3 separate regions of the Mus musculus genome follow, and all the other regions are reported to be linked to region 3. The links are microRNA targets in miRTarBase. Many come from high-throughput screens and were not tested one by one. Region 3 holds a microRNA gene; each other region holds the end of a gene's coding sequence.
Evidence for each region. The annotated mature microRNA mmu-miR-324-3p reads CCACUGCCCCAGGUGCUGCU and lies in region 3 at 2,296-2,315, opposite strand. An mRNA with a match to its seed (bases 2 to 7 or 8) in the 3' UTR can be bound and repressed. Matches are read on the target gene's strand: a 7mer-m8 pairs with bases 2 to 8, a 7mer-A1 pairs with bases 2 to 7 and ends in A, and an 8mer does both.

Region 1 (5,994 bases), not on the chromosome of region 3:
TCTTTTTCTTTCTTTCTTCCTTTCTTTCTTTCTTTCTTTCTTTCTTTCTTTCTTTCTTTCTTTCTTTCTTCCCTTTTTTCTTTTTTCTCAGCACCAATACATGAGAACAGGCATGCCCTTCAACACAGCAGTTCTGCCCTAGGACTTTTCGATTAGAGAGCTTTGGGCATTAGGCATAGCGGTGTGTTCAGTGACAAAGAGAAACTTGGGTATCTGCTGGAGGACGCTGTCAGCCTACAGTAGGTCAGTGTGCTGCTGCCAGGGCAGAAAGAAGCCTCAGTGTTTGCTCACATGGGGATGGGTTCCAGTACGCTATCAAGTATGAGTGTAGGATGAGAGACGTGCACAAAAGCAATGACGTGCAGTCAGTTCACAGCCTTCTTCTTGTATCTAAGCATGCATGAGATGTTTCTTGGAGGAATTATAAAACCCAGGATTCCTAGTTTATTCTCTTATTGGTGTGATAAAGACTTTGGGCAAAAACAATTTGGAGAGGAGAGACTTTATTGCAGCTTACAGTTTATAGTCCGTCATGGAGGGAGATCAGGGCCAAAATTGAAGGCAGGAACCTGAGGAGCACTGCTTACTGGCTGGCTTTCTAGATCTTAGTAAGCTTGCTTTATTAGATAGTTCAGAACACCTGCACAGGGTTAACACCACCCACAGTGAGCTGGGACCTTCCATGTCAAGTCTAATGAAATCTAATCTAAGGTCAGTCTAAGAAAACGCCCTGCAGACTTATCTGTAGGTCAGCCTGAAGGAGGCATTTTCCCTCTACCCAGGTGACCCAGCTGACAAAGACTAAGCTTAGCAGGTGATCCATTCTGAACAGACCTGAGGAGTAGGTTAGGGGAGACTCCTTTTACCTTTCTGTTAAGCGTGAGTACAGAACACTGAAAGGGAAGGATTGGGGCCAGAGAACTGCCCCAGCAGTTAAGAACTCGTCCTGTGGCTGTGAAAGGACCCGATTAGATTCCTAGCACCCACATGGTGGTTCAGAACTACCCACAAGTGCAGTTCTAGAGAATCCAGTACTCTCTTTTGACCTTCTCAGGCACCAAGCATGCACATGGTATACATGCATACACGCAGGTAAAACACTTACACATGAAAGAAAGCGAATACTTCTGTCCCTAGAACCTACAGAGGAGGGAGAAAAAATGACTCCCCAAAAGTTGTCTTCTGACCTCCGCCTGAGTTCCTGGCACTTGATGAGCAGAAAGTGCATGTGAGCTTGGCTTCATCTCTGCTCACACTTGTCTTCCAGGTGAACCATCTGAAAAGACCTGTCAGCAGAATGGCAGACGCTCCAGGCACTAGCAATGGTGCGACTGTTTCCTCCACCAAAAGGCACAAGTCCCTGTTTCAGTGTGCAAAGTGCACCTTCGCCACAGACTCGGAACTTGAGTTCCAGAGCCACATACCTCAGCACCAGGTGGACAGCTCCACAGCCCAGTGTCTTCTCTGTGGCTTGTGCTACACATCTACCAGCTCCCTCAACCGCCACCTGTTCATAGTCCACAAAGTGAGAGACCAGGAAGAGGGGGGAGAAGACATTGTGGAGGTGAAGGTGGAAGCCCCAGACTCCGAGGCATGCTCTGGAGAGGAGGTAGCCATGGAGACGAAAGAGAATGGACTGGAAGAATGTGCCAGTGAGCCTTTGGTTACTGACCTAGGAGGTCAGCAAGGTCTGGCTCTGGATGAAGACAGTGCCCAAGACCCTCAGAATCAACCACAGGCCTCTCAGGACCAGAACAGCCATGCACTATCTCCTCAGGTGTGACCAGAGGCTTTGTAGCCATCAGTCGGGCTGTGGTACCCTCCAGCTGCTGTGCAGACCGTGGGAAATAAAGAGCTCTGTCGCAGTGTTTGTGTGGCCACTGTGCTCTGGAGCAGTGTCTATTCTGAGCTGTGGGTTCTGGATATCTCCCAGCCCCCCAAAATGTGGGGTCACCCAGAATTCTTCACAGCTCTGAATTTGCTTCTGTTATTTATGGCTTAATGCTGCTTATTGATACCCCAATTCTCATCCATGTCCTTCCAGCCCCAGGCTACTTAGGTAGTACAGCCCCAGTGCTGTGTGTCAGCTCAGTGTGCAACCCCTCAGTAGCTGTGCTCTGGGCTTCCTACCTGCAGTGTTCATCGGGAGACACCGCAGAGTTCTCCTTCCTGCCTTCAGAGCCCAAGAAGGAGGGAAATGAAGGGTGCTGGCCATTCCTCTGGGAACTCTGCCCAGCTTGGCTTGGTGAGGTCCCTTGTTCACCCTTTCCTTCCTGTCTTCTTTCTCTGATTCTTTTTCCCAGAATCATCCTGAGGACTTCACCTGTCACTCTGATCATGTCTCTGTGGGTGGGAAAAATGGCAGTACACTCCTGTTTCGACCTGAGAGAAGCACGAAGTATGGCCAAGGCAGGCAGGTGCCAAGAGCCAGATCCTCTTTGGGGCTGTGGTGGGTTTTCCTTCTGCTGCTGTCCTGCAATCCCTGACAGGTGGGGTGTGTGGCACACAGATATTGGGGTATTTGTATTTTTGTTCCTGTGCCATTAGAGCTGCTGCTGCCTCAGGAAGGCCAGCTCCTCCTCTCGGCTACACTCTTGTTGCTCAGACTATATTTCAATAAAAAAAAATCTTACCATGCAGGTAGGCTCTTGTATTCCTCTTCTGGTGAGCTAGCCCTTCCCTGCTCCACCTGAGACTCTTCCCAGACAGCCCTGACTGCCCCATCTGAAGCAAAACAGCATTTCCTGCTGCCCACGGGAGCTCTAGGTTCTGGGGCTTGTGCTTGGGAAAGCAGGAGTCCTATACATCTTGGTTCTCTGGAGAGTTCTAAAGGAGCAGGGTGGTGTGGTGGGGTGTCAGTACTGGTCAAGAGCCACCTCCAAGGACTGGCCTGGCAGCATTAGCCTTAAGGTCTATTGATATTCTCTGGACATCTTTCCATCGAAGGGTTTTCAACCCAAGAGATTCTTGGTGAGGAACGAGGAGAAGGAATTCTGTGACATTCATACAACATTCAGAGACTGCTATTGCCACAGCAAATCCAGACTTGGTAGAAATGGGATTAGATGAGACTGGGACAAGTTGTGGGAAGGTGTTCTTGGACCCAACAGGCTCGGGCTAGGTCCTGTAGCACAGGGAAGGGGTGCTGGCTGAGTTCCTAGGCTTGATCTTTCAAGGGAGGCATGAATACCAATTAGGAATCAAGTTGGATAAATATGCATGACCTTTTCACAACTGAAGACTTTTTTTTTCCTTGCTCTATCAAATGCCAAATTTTTAGTGAAAAGCTAGTGGCAGTGGGAAAAGTTAGTGCTTGCCTCGGTTCCAGAGAGGCTCTGCTGTACACACCATTTTAATGAGCATTCTTTCTGGCAAGGCCTCCACTTCTCTGCTTCCCCAGCTGACAGTGAAGGGAAGCAAGCCCTACTGAGCGGGTCCCAAGCCAGCCACTGCCCCTTTCCCAGTTCCTTCACATACCCTGCTTTCTCTTCAGATCCCGTCAGTCCTTCACCTCATGCTAATCTCCCCCATGTGGGAGATTACCCAACATTGTACCCCAGATCGTTCATGAGAGCAGGTTCTTAAGGAGGGCTTTGAGCTGTATGGCTGCATTTCTTCCCACTCAGAAACCATGGGAGCTGGAGAACAAAGAAGGTGGAGAAACTAAGGGTGGAGCCACTGTCCTCATATCAGATCCAGCCTCTTGGAATAGTAGAATAGGACCTGCTGTGGGAAACCTGTGCTGCCCTCAGCCAGTCCCTAGCACCCTCATCCTCATGGGCTCCTCTCTCAGCAGAGGTAGGAATCCTCATCCAGCTACTTCAAGACTTTCCTGAGGTCATGAGTGCGCAAGCGCTCTAGGTTCCAGGCTACCATGTGGCTAGGGGCTTCTGCACTTGTAGACACAGTGAGGTGGAGCTCATCTCACTGGATGTGGGGTTCAGTTAGGAACGGGGCCCGTTTGCTTATCCATTATGCAGTGATGATGAAGATCGCATTCCCAGCCCTCCTCAGGTCCAGCATCTTGTTTAACTCTTACCAGAGACTTTCACTTCATCATCACAAGGATCTCAGCTACCCTTCTATTTTACAGAGGCAAAAAACCAGCCTTAGGTTAAATGACAGACATATTGGGCTACCTGTGATGACGGTGCTGAGTCAAACCTGTGCTGCCTTAGTGACAGGGCTGCTCTGGCTGCAGCCAGCCTGTCAGCAGTGTGGAGCCATCCAAAGCCCACCCTTCTAGTTCCCAAAAAAGGCAGGGTGCCCCTTAATGTCAGATCCTCCAGTGCCTTGTCACCCCAAGGAGGGCCCTGCGTTTGCACATGCGGTGTCCCTGATGTCGTCTCTCACTGGGGTTTACTTTCCATATGAAGAGCCATCATTTCTGGAGCACTCTTTAGAAGAGGTTACCTAATGTCTGGGGAACACACGGTTCCCTTCGAGTCAGTATCTCCTGATTGCTCAGGACAGTGTTTTAGTACACTGTCGGTCATCCGAGGATGCTTGCTGTAACAGATACTTCCCCTGCAGCGGATGCTCTCCTGACCAAGCTAGCTTAGATCTGCTACCCTCTAGAAGCTACCCATCTGGATACCCTGAGGCTTGACAAATGACTAGTATTTACTCTCTAACTGCTTTGTCTCTGTAAAATGATATGCTGAATTTCCGTGGACTAATTGTTGTAAAGAATTTGCCTCTTATGTAAACAGTCTGGGTTTTAAAAATTTAATGGTTGTGTTGTGGCCCACCTTAGAATTCCCACATTTTGCCTTGCCCTAGGCTGAGGAACTTCTGTCCTGTATACCATTGTACATTCAACACCAGGTAATTTAAAAAACTTTTTTTGGGGGGGTTTGGAAAAATAGATACATATACATTTGACAACATAAGGCATTCAACAGTACAAATGAACATACAATAAAAAGTAAAGTTCTTGGTGGAGGTCAGCTTCCAGTGCCCTTGCCAGAGTTCCTCATTGTTATCTCTACCTTGTGTATCCTTTCAGAGCAATTCTATGCATTTATGAGTTTATAAATATGTATATTTATATATCTATTTTTAATACAAACAGTAGCATTCTATCCGTCATGTTCTGAAGCCTGCTTTTTTCCCACTTACGCAGTGTTGTAGAGGTTGGCTCAGTGTAACTCTTTAAAGGCTTCCTCCAGGTGTATGGCTGAGAGTATGAATGGGCATGAATGAACACACCGAGCACAATTTGTAATATAACCACAGAGCTCTTGGGCTGACCTGACCAAGATTAGATCTTCTACATCCTAGAATATGTCCTTTGTCGTCTCCAAGACTGCCGCTCACCTTCGTCGACACTCTGCCCACTCTGCCGCTTCAGCAGGGAGCACAGAATGACTCCCGAATAACATTTTTTTTCCAGGTCCTTGTTTAAAATGCCTTTTTATTATAAAATGACAGATCAGTAATAGAGACATGTAAAACATGTATTTACACCCCACTCTTAGCAAGGCAGCTAACAGTTTTGCATCACCTTCTAGTCCTTTGGTATATTCATAATTGAATTTATGATATAATTATAATGATATTATAATTATGGTCATAGTGGTGAATGTCCTAGGGTATTGAGCATACTAGACAAGTGCTCTATTACTGAGCTGCCTCCCGGTCTTTTGTTTTGTTTTGTTTTGTTTCCTTTTATTAAGACAAGTCTTCTTTTGTAGCCCAGGTTAGTCCTAAATCCTGCCTCGGCTTCCTGAATAATAAGGTTATATATAGGCATATACCACCACACAGACTTTCTCATTTTACTTGGCTGATCTCAGGAGCAGTGTAAGAAAATGGAGAAAGCCAATAATTAAAAATCAGAAATGCAGTCAGGTGGTAGTGACAGTGGTGGCCACGCCTTTAATCCCAACAGAGGCAAGTAGCTTTGGAGGTCAGCCTGGTCTACAGAGTTAGTTTCAAGACAACCAGGGCTACACAGAGAAACCCTGTCCTCAAAAACAAACAAACAAAAAA
Region 2 (5,994 bases), not on the chromosome of region 3:
TTAACCTCTCCACTTTGGATTGCTCTGGTGAACCTGTCTTTAAGGTTCTTTAAAGCCAGTGCTGCCCACTGGCTTCAGACTAGATGCACAGCACAGAGTGGGACCCTGTTGGAGGCTACGATGAGGGACTTTTAAATAGTGAGTCATGCCTCTGCCTAGATAATAAAATAAAATGCACCGTGGGCTTGCCGTTTGGGTTGTGCACTTCTAACACCTATTTTGGAAATGACAATTTCCTTAAAAGAAATTGGTGAAACCAGACTTTCTAAAAAGCACCTCCAGAACCTAAGGACTCTCAGAGAAGCCTGTGGACTTAGTACAGCCTGGTACCCACAGGCAGAATAGTCTCCACTTTGGCCCCCAACAGAGCTGGGAGGATATGAACGGCATTAGTTTGGGCCAATCAACTGGCTGGGAAATTGTCCTCTGGGAAATACCAGAGGACAGGCATTCTAGGCTGGGCTCCTTACCCACTGCACATCCTGCCCTGACCCAGCCTCCTACTCCTGTTTCAGATTCAAGGTATTTGCAGACTATGAAGCCTACATCCAATGCCAGGCCCAGGTGGACCGTCTATACCGGGTAAGGCTTGTGGGCCTAGATGTGTTTGGCTAGGTCTGTGTGGATCTGTTTGGGGGTTAGACCACTTCTCAACCCATGGTTGAGACCAGAGGGGTGGGCTGCTCTGATATCAGTCTGTCCAGCCTGTTTCTAGGTCAGCTCTCCGGGCATTAGGTGTCATGAGGAAAACCTTTTCTGATAGTCAAAACTAGAATAAGGAACCTGAAAATATCACCCACGGGTCTGGCCCACGAGAATCAAGATCTTCCTAGAAGGCTCCTTCCATTGACGTCTGGAGCCTCCAGTCCGGGGACAGTTTTGAAGTTCTAGAGCAAGCTGTAATGAAGCTGAAGTCTTACAAGGGAGTGCTTAGTCATTTTTGGACACTGGGTCTGCCTGTGGCAGTTGCTCACCAGTTTGTGCTCTTGGCTTAATGTTGCGAGCCATGCCTTAGGAGCCTCTAGAAGACAAAACAGTAATCCTGTCTTAAGCAACCGGTCCCTTAATCCAGTGTGTCTCTTCTGGCCAAGTGAGGGCTTTTCTGTGAGCACATGGCTGCAGTCTCTTCTACCACAGGCTGCCCCAAGGCTCAGAGTTTATCTGTTAATGTCATCATGCTCTGAAGGCTTGGGCTCCTAGGATCCCTTAGCTCTGCCAAATGCTAATCAGTCTGTTTTTCCCTTCACAGAATTCCAAGGAGTGGACTAAAAAGGTGATCAGGAATATAGCCTGCTCTGGCAAGTTCTCCAGTGACCGGACCATCACTGAATACGCCCGGGAGATCTGGGGTGTGGAGCCCTCTGACCTGCAGATCCCACCCCCCAACCTCCCCAAGGACTAATTAATTATCCCACACAGTGAGAGCAGTGGCTTGCTTAGCTGACTGTGCCCACGCCAGTCTTCAGGCACTGCAAGCAGCCGCTGGTCCCTGCTATCCGAAGTGCCATGCTTCCAGGAAGGACCATGGGAATGGTTTTGAGGACCTGGATGAGGAAGAAGGCGTGGCATCCTCCTGGCTTCTTACAGAAGAACTGTTGCAGAGTTCACAGCACAGATGGGCAGAGATGGTCCCCACAGCTTCAGCCCATCATCATCCCCAGAGGCCGAGCAGGGAGGGAGTGGAGCTGAGCCCCTGAAATCCTGCACGTAGCTGAGTGAGCTTAAGCCTTTAGTTTGGGGTGTGAATAGGGATCTGTGGTAGCCAGTGTTCCTATGTTCTGCTAGTACCTGGGTCACCAGCCATAGGGTACAGCCAGCCCCAGTGTGTGGTCTTGTTGGCCTGCTGGGTAGAACCTTTGCTTCAGGCTTCATGCTCACAGCTTCCTGTCCTTTGCCCTTGACTGTACTGAGTATGTGGGTGGTTGACCCATATAGGCCATGCCTCTAGCCATCTGTGGAACCCTGTGGGTGTCAAGTAGAACCCAGAACCCCTGGAGAGGAGCACTGAAGAGAGAGAGACCTTTATCCCGTAACTGAGACCTTGGTTGAGGACTGGCAATTTTATAGAGGGTTGGTTTAGTTCTTTGCTTTTTCAACAGGAAATAACACTTCAGGAGGAACTGAAACTAGCTAAGCCTTCCTTTTTAGCAAGTAAACCTTGAACTTGGTCAGTGTGGATATTTCTGCTAGGCTGACGACTAAGCTGCTGGCCCTGCAGAGGGTCCAGTGTACACTCCACTCTGCTACAGCAGCATGGTGAGGACCCACCACAGGAGCTGTGCTCCTCAGAGGGCAGAATCTACATTAAGTGCCGCCCAAAGGAGAGTGCGTTGTCATAGAAACCACATAAAACTATCCTTCCAGAGGCTTCACCACCTTGCACTGCTCTATCTGGTTGGGGGTGGGCAGGAGAACCCCTCGCTTTCCCCACCATGGGAGCATTTGCTGGGAAGTGTCTTTTCAGGACTTAAATCACCGGAGCCACTGTGGTAGCTTGTGGGGGTGGGTGGGCAGGTTCTAGGGCTGGTCATCTGCTGCCCTGTGCATGAGGTCCCCTGAAGCCGCAATACATGACCACCCTTCTACTACTTGCTATTACCTCCTTGTATGAGAAATGGATTAAACTTCTATGCCTATGGTTGGTCACTGTGGTATCTGCATTTCCACCATGACATACAGTTTCAGGTAACTCCCTCGAGAGGCTAGAGGATATAAGCCTGGATAGTCACCCTGTGGAATAGGCTGCAGTTGTCCCTTTGTAGCCAGGCGCAAGTTGCTGGCACAGACCAGTTTATACAAGGACCCTGATGGTGGGTACCACGGGCTGGGTTCAGTAAAGCTAAATCCCTGGCCTAGAGTGAGGCAGGGAAGGCCTGTTTCCCGTGTCGTGAGGATCACTTAGGGAGCCGGCGCTATGATACTTTGCTGTGGGTGAGCATGAGTTCCAGACATGGGTCCTTTAACTAGCCCACGGCTGCTCCTCATGTCAGGTCTTGCTACGCCTTGTGCTCTAACTTCTCAGCCCTGCTTAGTCTGCAGGTGGACAGCTTTAGGTCAGGCTGCTTTGACAAAAGGCCAAACACACTTGGACCAAGACACTGGTGAAATGAGTCTGGCCGGTTCCCAGGTCCTGGTTATACGGCTCATATCCTCTGGAAGATCAGTGCTTCTGTGTTGGCCATGCCAATGTTCCTGCGTAGCGTGGTCATGTGGGCTCTTTGTCTAGGCCTGCCTTTTAGGAGTAGGTGCCTCCGTTCAGAGCAGAACCCAGTGCCTGAAGAGTTGGGGGCAGATCTTTGACTTCTGTGGGGATTGTGTCTGGGGCAGGGGTCAGGAACAGAGCTGTGAGGGGTAGCAAAGGAAGAAACTCTGATTCCTGCTTTGTAGAGAAAACAATAAATAGACCACCACCGAGATTTTATTCTTAAATAAATGCTCAGTCTACGGCCAGGTTAGGTGACAGACAGGTGGGCAGAATGGAAGAAGTGCAGATCCAGGTGCCCCTTACTGTGGGTAATCAGATGCCAGGAGAGGCAGGGACAGCTGAGGAAGGCAAGCAGGTAAATGAGCTGTAGGAGACAAACTGAACCACTTGGAGTCTGTTCTGTAAACGCTAGGAAGGGCAGAAAGAACCATTTTCCTGAATCTTAAGCAATGGTGCCAGAGAGCCTGGAGTGGTCCTGAGCTCCTGAGCCCTTCCCAGGCTCCCTATGCCCAGCATATGGGGTCCACCTGCTGTCTATAAGCCTTCCCAAAAAGAGCTCAGATACAGTGGTCACCAGAGGGCTGGGGGGGCCACCTGCCTGCCACCGGGCTTTCCTCACAGGTCCATCAGGAGCCTCTGCCCGCTGTGTCTGAGTCCTCTTTCTAGGTGTGCACTGGGCTCCTGAGCACCACAGGTGGTGGCACTCTGGGCTTCGGGGTGCCAGGCTGCTGTCCAGGGGAGAAGGAAGGAAGGTGGGTCTTCATGCTCCTTCATGGGCCAGTCTCAGTGCTGGCGTTCCGGTTCCGACTTCCCTAGGAATTCCCTAGACCAGAGAAGGGTAAGCCTAAGTGAAACTGTGTTTGGACCTAAGAGCACACTCCCACAGTCCTCAAGTGGCTGCCTTAGGTGGTAGAGGCAGCAAAGAATCTAGGGCTCCGGGCCACCTGACAAGAAGGCCCTCGGAGTGAGGCAGGAAGAACACTGCAGCTCCCAGGTCAAATCCCAGGCAAGGCTGGGAATGGGGAGGGGAAAGATGTCAATTCTAAACAGAACTTATTCAGCTCCCTGCCCCAAATAGCAGCCTTTACTGTAATGTAGCTTTGCTTCTGGAATTTCTAAGGATCTAGGGTCTGGACTACACAGGATATTGCTCTTTGGGAGATAATTTAAGCAACCAGTTTTAGTCACAGGTTGGGAATAACTGGCCCTTAGCCCACTTCTCAAGCCTACCAGCATGAACAGCGGACTCCTTTCAGCAGCAACAGTGCTCAACAAGTAGCCCAGTGCTCTGGGTTCATGTGCTGCACAGCAGCCCCAGTATGGTGGGCAGGGAGGGTTGGACTGCTGAGTGGTGGCGAGTGGAGCCTGGGTCATCTGACAAGGAGCTAGGTGATGCTATGGGGAAATCTATGTAGGAGCATGGAGGATGGCCACATGGGAGGCCAGTCAGAAACTGATCCTTGCTACTCCACACTCATACTTTGGTTCTGGGCTGCAGCCTACATCTTGTCCAAGAGTGACTAGTGTGTAGTAGCCAGAAACAGGGCCTCCCTTTAGGAAGCTGTATCCTGTACTCCTGTACATATGAAGCCTTCCATGTACTGGGAGTGGTGCATGTGCACTCAAAGGCCCCCAGGATGCTTGCACACTCTGCACACACATGGCAGCCTGAGTAAGGATGGTACATGTGCACACTGTTAGGTACTCCCCTATTCGTGTGCTCATGTGCGTTTGTGCGATGTGTACCGGAAGACCATATGCCCCATCTGATCATATTATCCAGAAGAAAGGAGAACAAACGTTGTAACGTCTACATGGTGTTGGTGGAAGGCCCTTGAATCACTGACCCTGCAGCACACTTCTGAGCGGCTCAAATGGCTTCAGTGACTGTCACTTGCTGCACAGCTAGGTGTGAGGCTAGCTGTCCAGAGAGGCTCAAGGGTTAGAAGAGAATGTCTCACCTCAGTATCCTTGGAAGCTCTGGGCTCTTGTAGATGTATTTATGTCTGTAGCCAAGGTCTGAGTGAAAGGGGATAAACTGGACTTTGAAGTCTCGGAAACTCCGAGATGGTGCAGCAATGTTGTATAGCTGGTGAGAGGGAGAGAGGAATCAGCCTAGAGCCCAACGGAGAACCGCCTATGACCTCTCCCCTTCAATAAAGACTGGTGCTTCCTCCAGAGAACAGCCCAAGTGCCCATAGACACTGCTTCTGTCATTACAGCCTACACAGCCAGGTCCAAGAAGCCAGAGTCTGGGAATGCTAGGCATTGCCACGTCCATAAAGTCCACCATTTATGACCCCTTTTCTGCTCTTCTACTTCCACAGTGCCCTTCCTCTGAAAACAGCTAAGGGGTAGCTCAGTTCCATGCACCAGGGGTGCGCTGCTGGGCAGTTCACACTCTCTTGGATGGCTTCATCTTTGTGTAACGTATAAAGCCTGCCCAAAGCGAGTCGTGTGCCAAGTCTGTTGATGAGGCATGCCAAGCACTTCTCTAGGCACTCCTGTGCCCAGTATGGTATTCTTTACACGCCACGCCCCCTCACCCCCCATCTAAGCCAGCTTTCCAGCAGCAAAGTCAATGCAGATTTAGTAGCAGCAAGTGCTAGGTCCCTCCCTGCAGTTTATCCACGAAGGCAAGAATATAGCCTAGATGTCTTTACATGAGTTCTGCCAACTGAGCCACAAGTGGTCCCCTCAATCCTCCCATGTCAGCCTGGGTTCTAATGCTTGTTTGTCATAGTTTCTGGTGGATAGAACAGCAGTCTGCTCTTGACCCTGACAGTAGA
Region 3 (5,994 bases):
AATATGAGATTCTTCCTATTCCTTGCTCAGGAAGTGAATGACCCTGCCAAGAACGACGCCTTGGAGAAGGTGGAGGACGACACTTTGCAGGGACTCAAGGAACTGGGGGCATTTGGCCTGCAAGTACCCAGCGAGCTGGGTGGTTTGGGCCTCTCTAATACCCAGGTGAGAGGATCCCCCTGGTTAACATTCCACAGTGCTCCAGTTTTGGTAGACTCACCACTAGGGCCAAGCAAGTAGCCAGAGTAGTGTCTACCTGCCTGCCCTTTTTCTCACACATTTTCCCCTGAAACATGATCTGTGTGCAGCCCACTAGGACCGTGGACCTAACTGTGGTTCCCAGGTCTTTGGGGACTGTGTGAGGCAACACAGCAGGCAACCTTCCCATCAAGACCAAGGGCAGCTGGGCACAGTGGCACTCATCTTTAATCCCAGCATGGAGGATGGAGGCAGAGGCGGGCGGATCTCGAGTTCAAGGCCAGCATGGTCTACAGAGGGAGTTTCAGGACAGTCAGGGAAACCCACAAAGTTTCAGGCTAGCTGGAGCTACAAAATGAAACTGCCTCAAAAGGGGGGGGGGGGATTATCTAAGCCCTTTGATGTTCCTGCTCCTGTCTCCTTAGGAAAGACTCCAGGGTTTCATGCTAGAGAAGCAGCCTACCTGGGAGCCCCATGGCCAGCCTCCCTGTGCCCTGTCCAAACCCACTCCACTCCCCATGCTCAGAGTAGAGATGCTCCAAGCCCCAGGCCAGGTCTGCCCTGCTGCCCATTCTTGTTGAGGACAAGTTCAGTGCAGCCAGCTACAATCCCAGATGCCTCCTTTCCCTCCAGTATGCTCGCTTGGCAGAGATTGTGGGCATGCATGACCTTGGTGTTAGCGTTACCCTGGGAGCTCATCAGAGCATCGGTTTCAAAGGCATCTTGCTCTATGGCACAAAGGCCCAGAGAGAAAAATACCTTCCCAGAGTGGCATCTGGTAAGGCAACCTTAAGAGACCCAGGGGTAAGGAGTGTGACACTGCTCACGGTGTTACAAGGAACTGCCTGGGGATGAGGGGGTGCAACTCTGGTGGTCAGGATCCCCAGTGAGCCCGTTCTCTCCCCCACAGGGCAGGCTTTGGCTGCTTTCTGCCTAACAGAGCCCTCGAGTGGATCCGATGTAGCCTCCATCCGAAGCTCAGCCATACCCAGCCCCTGTGGAAAATATTACACTCTCAATGGGAGCAAGATCTGGATCAGGCAATCTTCCGTTTCTCTTCTACCCTTCAGCCCAGTGGCCTGACCCTGCTGCTCTAAACCCTATACTAACCACCTCACTCTTCCACAGTAATGGGGGCCTGGCTGACATTTTCACTGTCTTTGCCAAGACGCCAATTAAAGATGCAGCCACGGGGGCCGTGAAAGAGAAGATCACAGCTTTTGTAGTGGAAAGGAGCTTCGGAGGGGTTACCCAGTGAGTATGGGGCAAAACAGAATCAAGGATGGGGACAGCACTGGGCTCTCAAGAGCAAATAGTCAATACAGGCCACGCTGGGGCTATCTCTGTACAAGAGGCACCCACAGGAGGTGAGCAGTTTTGTTTCCACTGGGGGAACACAGGCTAACAGGCCATAGCTAGATATCCGTAGCCCCTGGGGCACATAGGCAGTGCCCTGTATCCTTTTTATAGTCTGGGGAGTTCTCCCCTGATCATGAGACCCGAAAAGGCCGTTTTCCCCCACAGCAACCTGTTCATACCTCAACTTTCCTGCCCTGCCTTTTCAGTGGGCTCCCTGAAAAGAAGATGGGCATCAAAGCATCTAACACGTCAGAGGTGTACTTTGATGGAGTGAAGGTGCCATCAGAGAATGTGCTAGGAGAGGTGGGAGATGGCTTCAAGGTTGCTGTCAACATCCTCAACAACGGAAGATTCGGGATGGCTGCAACCCTCGCAGGCACCATGAAATCCCTCATTGCCAAGGCGGTGAGTCCCAGCCCAGTCCCTAGCTAGCACATGTCCCTGACTGCCTCAGAGCGCCGACACACACACATGCACACTCGACCATCGGCACAGTTAGGCCTCCAGCCCGTCCAGGTGGAAACTGAAGAACCACAGTGGGGTAACATGCGCCCTCTTGCAGGTTGATCATGCTACTAATCGTACCCAGTTTGGGGACAAAATTCACAACTTTGGGGTGATCCAGGAAAAGCTGGCTCGGATGGCTATTCTGCAGTATGTGACTGAGGTAAGGGCCTCCTGGGCCCCTTCCCTGGAGCCCTATGGCTTTCTTCACAGTTGGGTCAGACTACAACCCCCAGCAGCACCTGGGGCAGTGGGTCTCCAGCTTTACACCAATGCCCTAGGGGATGCGAGGAGGCATAGTCAGTTCTCTTCTGGAGGGTGGTGCTGCTCTGCTAAATGCTGCCCAGATGCACCAAACACGACTTTTAACCCACCCCTTTACAAAGTCGGAAGCCTCGAAGCCCCTGATATACCAGAGGGTCACATATTGGACATATTTGACCTGACCAGGAGGCTAAAGTGAATTCAAGGGTTGGAGGAGTAGATCAGCACTGGTCTTGAAGGTCTGAGCATTAGCCATTCTGTCTGATGCAGCCCTTCCCTGTTGTCTTCCCCATGTCCCGACCATGCTCCCTTAGTCCATGGCTTACATGCTGAGTGCCAACATGGACCAGGGATTCAAAGACTTCCAGATAGAAGCCGCCATCAGCAAAATCTTTTGCTCGGTGAGGACCCAGGTGTGATGGGAGGGCGGAGTCCAGATTAGGACCTCAGCTCAAAAATCCAACTCATCTGGTTCTCTGTCCTCAGGAGGCGGCCTGGAAAGTGGCAGATGAGTGCATCCAAATAATGGGGGGCATGGGCTTCATGAAGGTACAGAGTATTCCTCGGCAGGGGGGGGCATCTGTTCAGAGTGGACAGGCACATCTCAACAGAGGTTTCTGTGTCTTCCTGCGTGCCAGGAACCAGGGGTGGAGCGTGTGCTCCGAGATATTCGAATCTTCCGGATCTTTGAAGGGGCAAATGACATTCTTCGACTGTTTGTGGCTCTGCAAGGCTGTATGGTAAGAGGAAGGAGGATGAGAGAGAGCAGCTGGGGAGGACACTGAGTCCTCACTGTCGCCGTCCCCCTTCTCTCCACAGGACAAAGGAAAGGAACTCACTGGGCTGGGCAATGCCCTGAAGAATCCTTTTGGAAACGTTGGCCTCCTGATGGGAGAAGCAGGCAAACAGCTGAGACGGTACCTCATGGGCCGGGGCCAGGGTCAGAGTCAGGGTCAAACAAGATGGGAGGCCGCAACTGACCAGTCACTCTTCCATCTCCTCTCAGGAGGACAGGAATCGGCAGTGGTTTGAGTCTGTCAGGGATTGTCCACCCAGAGTTAAGTCGCAGTGGTGAACTGGTGAGTGAGCCTTAAAGCAGAGCCTGCGGTGGCTGTGCGCTGCCTTCCTCTCCTGAGCTCTGTCTGTGACTCTTGTCTCTTCAGGCAGTGCAGGCTCTGGATCAATTTGCCACCGTGGTGGAGGCCAAGCTGGTGAAACACAAGAAAGGGATTGTCAGTGAGTGAGCTCTGCAACCCCCTTCCCTCCCTGATTCCCTCCCTCCGACTAACAGCCCCACCCTCATCTACCTGACAGACGAGCAGTTCCTGCTGCAGCGACTGGCGGACGGCGCCATTGACCTCTATGCCATGGTGGTGGTTCTGTCCAGGTAAGGCGGCAGCGAGGGACGCTTGGCAGGCTAGAGCCACAGAGGAGCTGGGCCAACACCAGCACTCAGGATCATTTTAACCTCTGTTTCCTCACAGAGCCTCAAGGTCCCTGAGTGAGGGCTACCCGACGGCACAGCATGAGAAAATGCTCTGTGATAGCTGGTGCATTGAGGTGAGCCTTGGAGCTCCCCAGTACAGGTGGGCCTTGGAGCTCCCCAGTACAGGACGGCCTGACCGTCCCTCCCCTTCCCTCTCCCCAGGCTGCAACTCGGATCCGAGAAAACATGGCCAGTCTGCAGTCCAGCCCTCAGCATCAGGAGCTCTTCCGGAACTTCAGAAGCATCTCCAAGGCCATGGTGGAGAATGGTGGCCTGGTCACCGGTAACCCCCTGGGAATCTGAGACTCCCAATCAGGCCCTGGCAAGGTCATGTGCCTTCTCTGATGCCAAAACCCTTTATGGGGGTGATGGAGTACTTATTGCCTTAACAATAAATTTTCTACCAAGTCACTGTCTGCCGTGAATGTCACTGCTCCCTCCTCTCCACTGCCTGCCTCGCAAAGAAAGGAGCCAGAGGCTTGGGGAGTTGGCCTCTATTTGCTTTATTTGGTGTTTTGTACAAGTGACTAAAATAAATAGAGTAACAAAGGCAGCTACACAGTCCCCAACACACCACCAGCCTCCTTGGACTGCTGTCTGGGGTACCCAGCCCACACCTTCTTCTTCCCAGGGTACCACTGACCACCACCCACCCTCAACATGAGAGCTGACTAGGCACCTGGAGGTGGCGGTCATATTCTGGGGTTAGAAGGGATTCTCCATATAAAAGAGGAACTGTCTATTTAAAAAAATACTCCCCCAAATATAAGAAAGTCTATTTTAACCCCCCAAAAAGCTTATAAAAAATAAAGCTAAAAATAACCAAAGGTCCCCATCTACCCCCGAGGAAGAGGGGGAAGGACCAGGCACTGCTGGTGAGAGTCACAGTGGCAAAAACGTTTTGGTAGGCACCAGCCGCCAGGCTGAGCCCAGGCACTATGAAGGGCACCAGGCTGAAACTTGCCAGGCCAAGGGCACAGACCCAATGTGGCCTCAAGATGGGTCCCTACATAACATCCACAAAAAACTCACTGGGGTTGCCCATGGCCATGTGGAAGCTCTGACGGCTAGCTGTCAGTTCTGGGGGCACGGAGCCCAGGTCTCTGACTGGAGGGGCACCAGGGGGCTGCACTGCTGTGGAGACAGGGGGTGGGGGTGGAGGCATCATAACTACCATCATGGGGTTATAGGGGAGAGCCATGCCAGATGGGGCTCCATAGGGATGGAGCCCGGGAAGAGCTCGGAGATTAGGAGGAGCGCCTGTCGAGCCCCTGGATGGAGGAGGGCCGCCATCACCAGTCCCACCAGGCTCCCCACCCCGCCGAAGGCTGCCTCCCCGGCTGGAGAGTTCTGACTCACTGCCACTGCCGGACTTGGACTCAGGGGCCCGTTCCTCAGGCCTGCCTGTGCGCCCAGCCCCCCCATCGCTTCTTGTCGACCCGCTGCTCCGGCTCCCTGTTGGAGGGCAGAGGTGACGAGGAAAATGAAGCTCAGCCCAGAGTCCTCAGGATCCCAGTCCCTGCTCTTGCCTCTCCTCCCCGAATCCGCTCTACTTGTGCCCACTTTCTCTGGCTGTACTGGTACGTGGGAGTGGGTCACTTACCCTCACTGTGCTGGCTGCTGGCACTGCCTCCACCATAGGTGTACGAAGAAAGCTCGTGGTAGGGTGGAGGCTGGGGGCTGTAGGGGTGTGGCGCTGGATACTGGTAGGAGAAGGTGGGCAGCAGGGGCCAGGGAGTAGCTCCAGGCAGAGGTGCCAGGGTATCCTGGTCTGAAGCCCCACTGGAACCGTCATTGTCATTCAGAGAGAGGTTAACTAGGTCTGGAAAAAAATGGAAGAGAGGTCCCTGCTTTAGGAGGCCAGGATTCCTGAGAACAGAGAAACCTGAGCCATTTCCCCAGAGCTCCCCACGAGACAAAAGCCAGAGACCATGATGGCTTACAACAGGAAACTCTGCTGCTCTGGCAGAGAAACAGCCAGGACTCTCACCAATAGCCCCAAAATGCTTTTGTGAGCCCCGTGCAGCACTCTTTCCCTTGGGGATGCAGCTCAGGTACCTCGCTTACTCAGCAGTACTACTCAGCAGTACCGGGGCACACATCAGCCTGAGCTCCTACAGCCAGACCTGCTGACTTACAACTCTCACAGCCACCACTGAGGTCCCCGAAGACATAATAGCACT

Region 1: miRTarBase lists Zfp592 as a target of mmu-miR-324-3p. Seed matches in the 3' UTR shown: 7mer-m8 at 3,293-3,299 and 7mer-A1 at 3,977-3,983.
Region 2: miRTarBase lists Pygb as a target of mmu-miR-324-3p. The part of its 3' UTR that is shown has no 7-base or 8-base seed match.

Annotation. Positions count from the first base shown.
Region 1 is chr7:81,040,081-81,046,074 of GRCm38, forward strand. It overlaps Zfp592 (zinc finger protein 592), which reads left to right. Exons shown (of 10, transcript NM_178707.4): 10 at 1,268-5,082. The coding sequence ends at 1,783. Among named protein-coding and RNA genes, the nearest start is that of Alpk3, 15 kb to the right of the region's middle.
Region 2 is chr2:150,829,113-150,835,106 of GRCm38, forward strand. It overlaps Pygb (brain glycogen phosphorylase), which reads left to right. Exons shown (of 20, transcript NM_153781.1): 19 at 516-582; 20 at 1,250-2,636. The coding sequence ends at 1,402. Abhd12 (abhydrolase domain containing 12) reads right to left here. Exons shown (of 13, transcript NM_024465.3): 12 at 5,167-5,294; 13 at 3,403-4,028. The coding sequence ends at 3,989. Among named protein-coding and RNA genes, the nearest start is that of Pygb, 45 kb to the left of the region's middle.
Region 3 is chr11:70,008,416-70,014,409 of GRCm38, reverse strand. Mir324 (microRNA 324) reads right to left here and starts at 2,367; the gene lies at 2,279-2,367. It overlaps Acadvl (acyl-Coenzyme A dehydrogenase, very long chain), which reads left to right. Exons shown (of 20, transcript NM_017366.3): 6 at 31-165; 7 at 832-976; 8 at 1,109-1,238; 9 at 1,327-1,452; 10 at 1,764-1,962; 11 at 2,120-2,224; 12 at 2,640-2,726; 13 at 2,812-2,874; 14 at 2,964-3,065; 15 at 3,145-3,242; 16 at 3,332-3,404; 17 at 3,489-3,561; 18 at 3,640-3,712; 19 at 3,810-3,885; 1 more. The coding sequence ends at 4,114. It overlaps Dvl2 (dishevelled segment polarity protein 2), which reads right to left. Exons shown (of 15, transcript NM_007888.4): 13 at 5,950-5,994; 14 at 5,415-5,633; 15 at 4,301-5,266. The coding sequence ends at 4,818.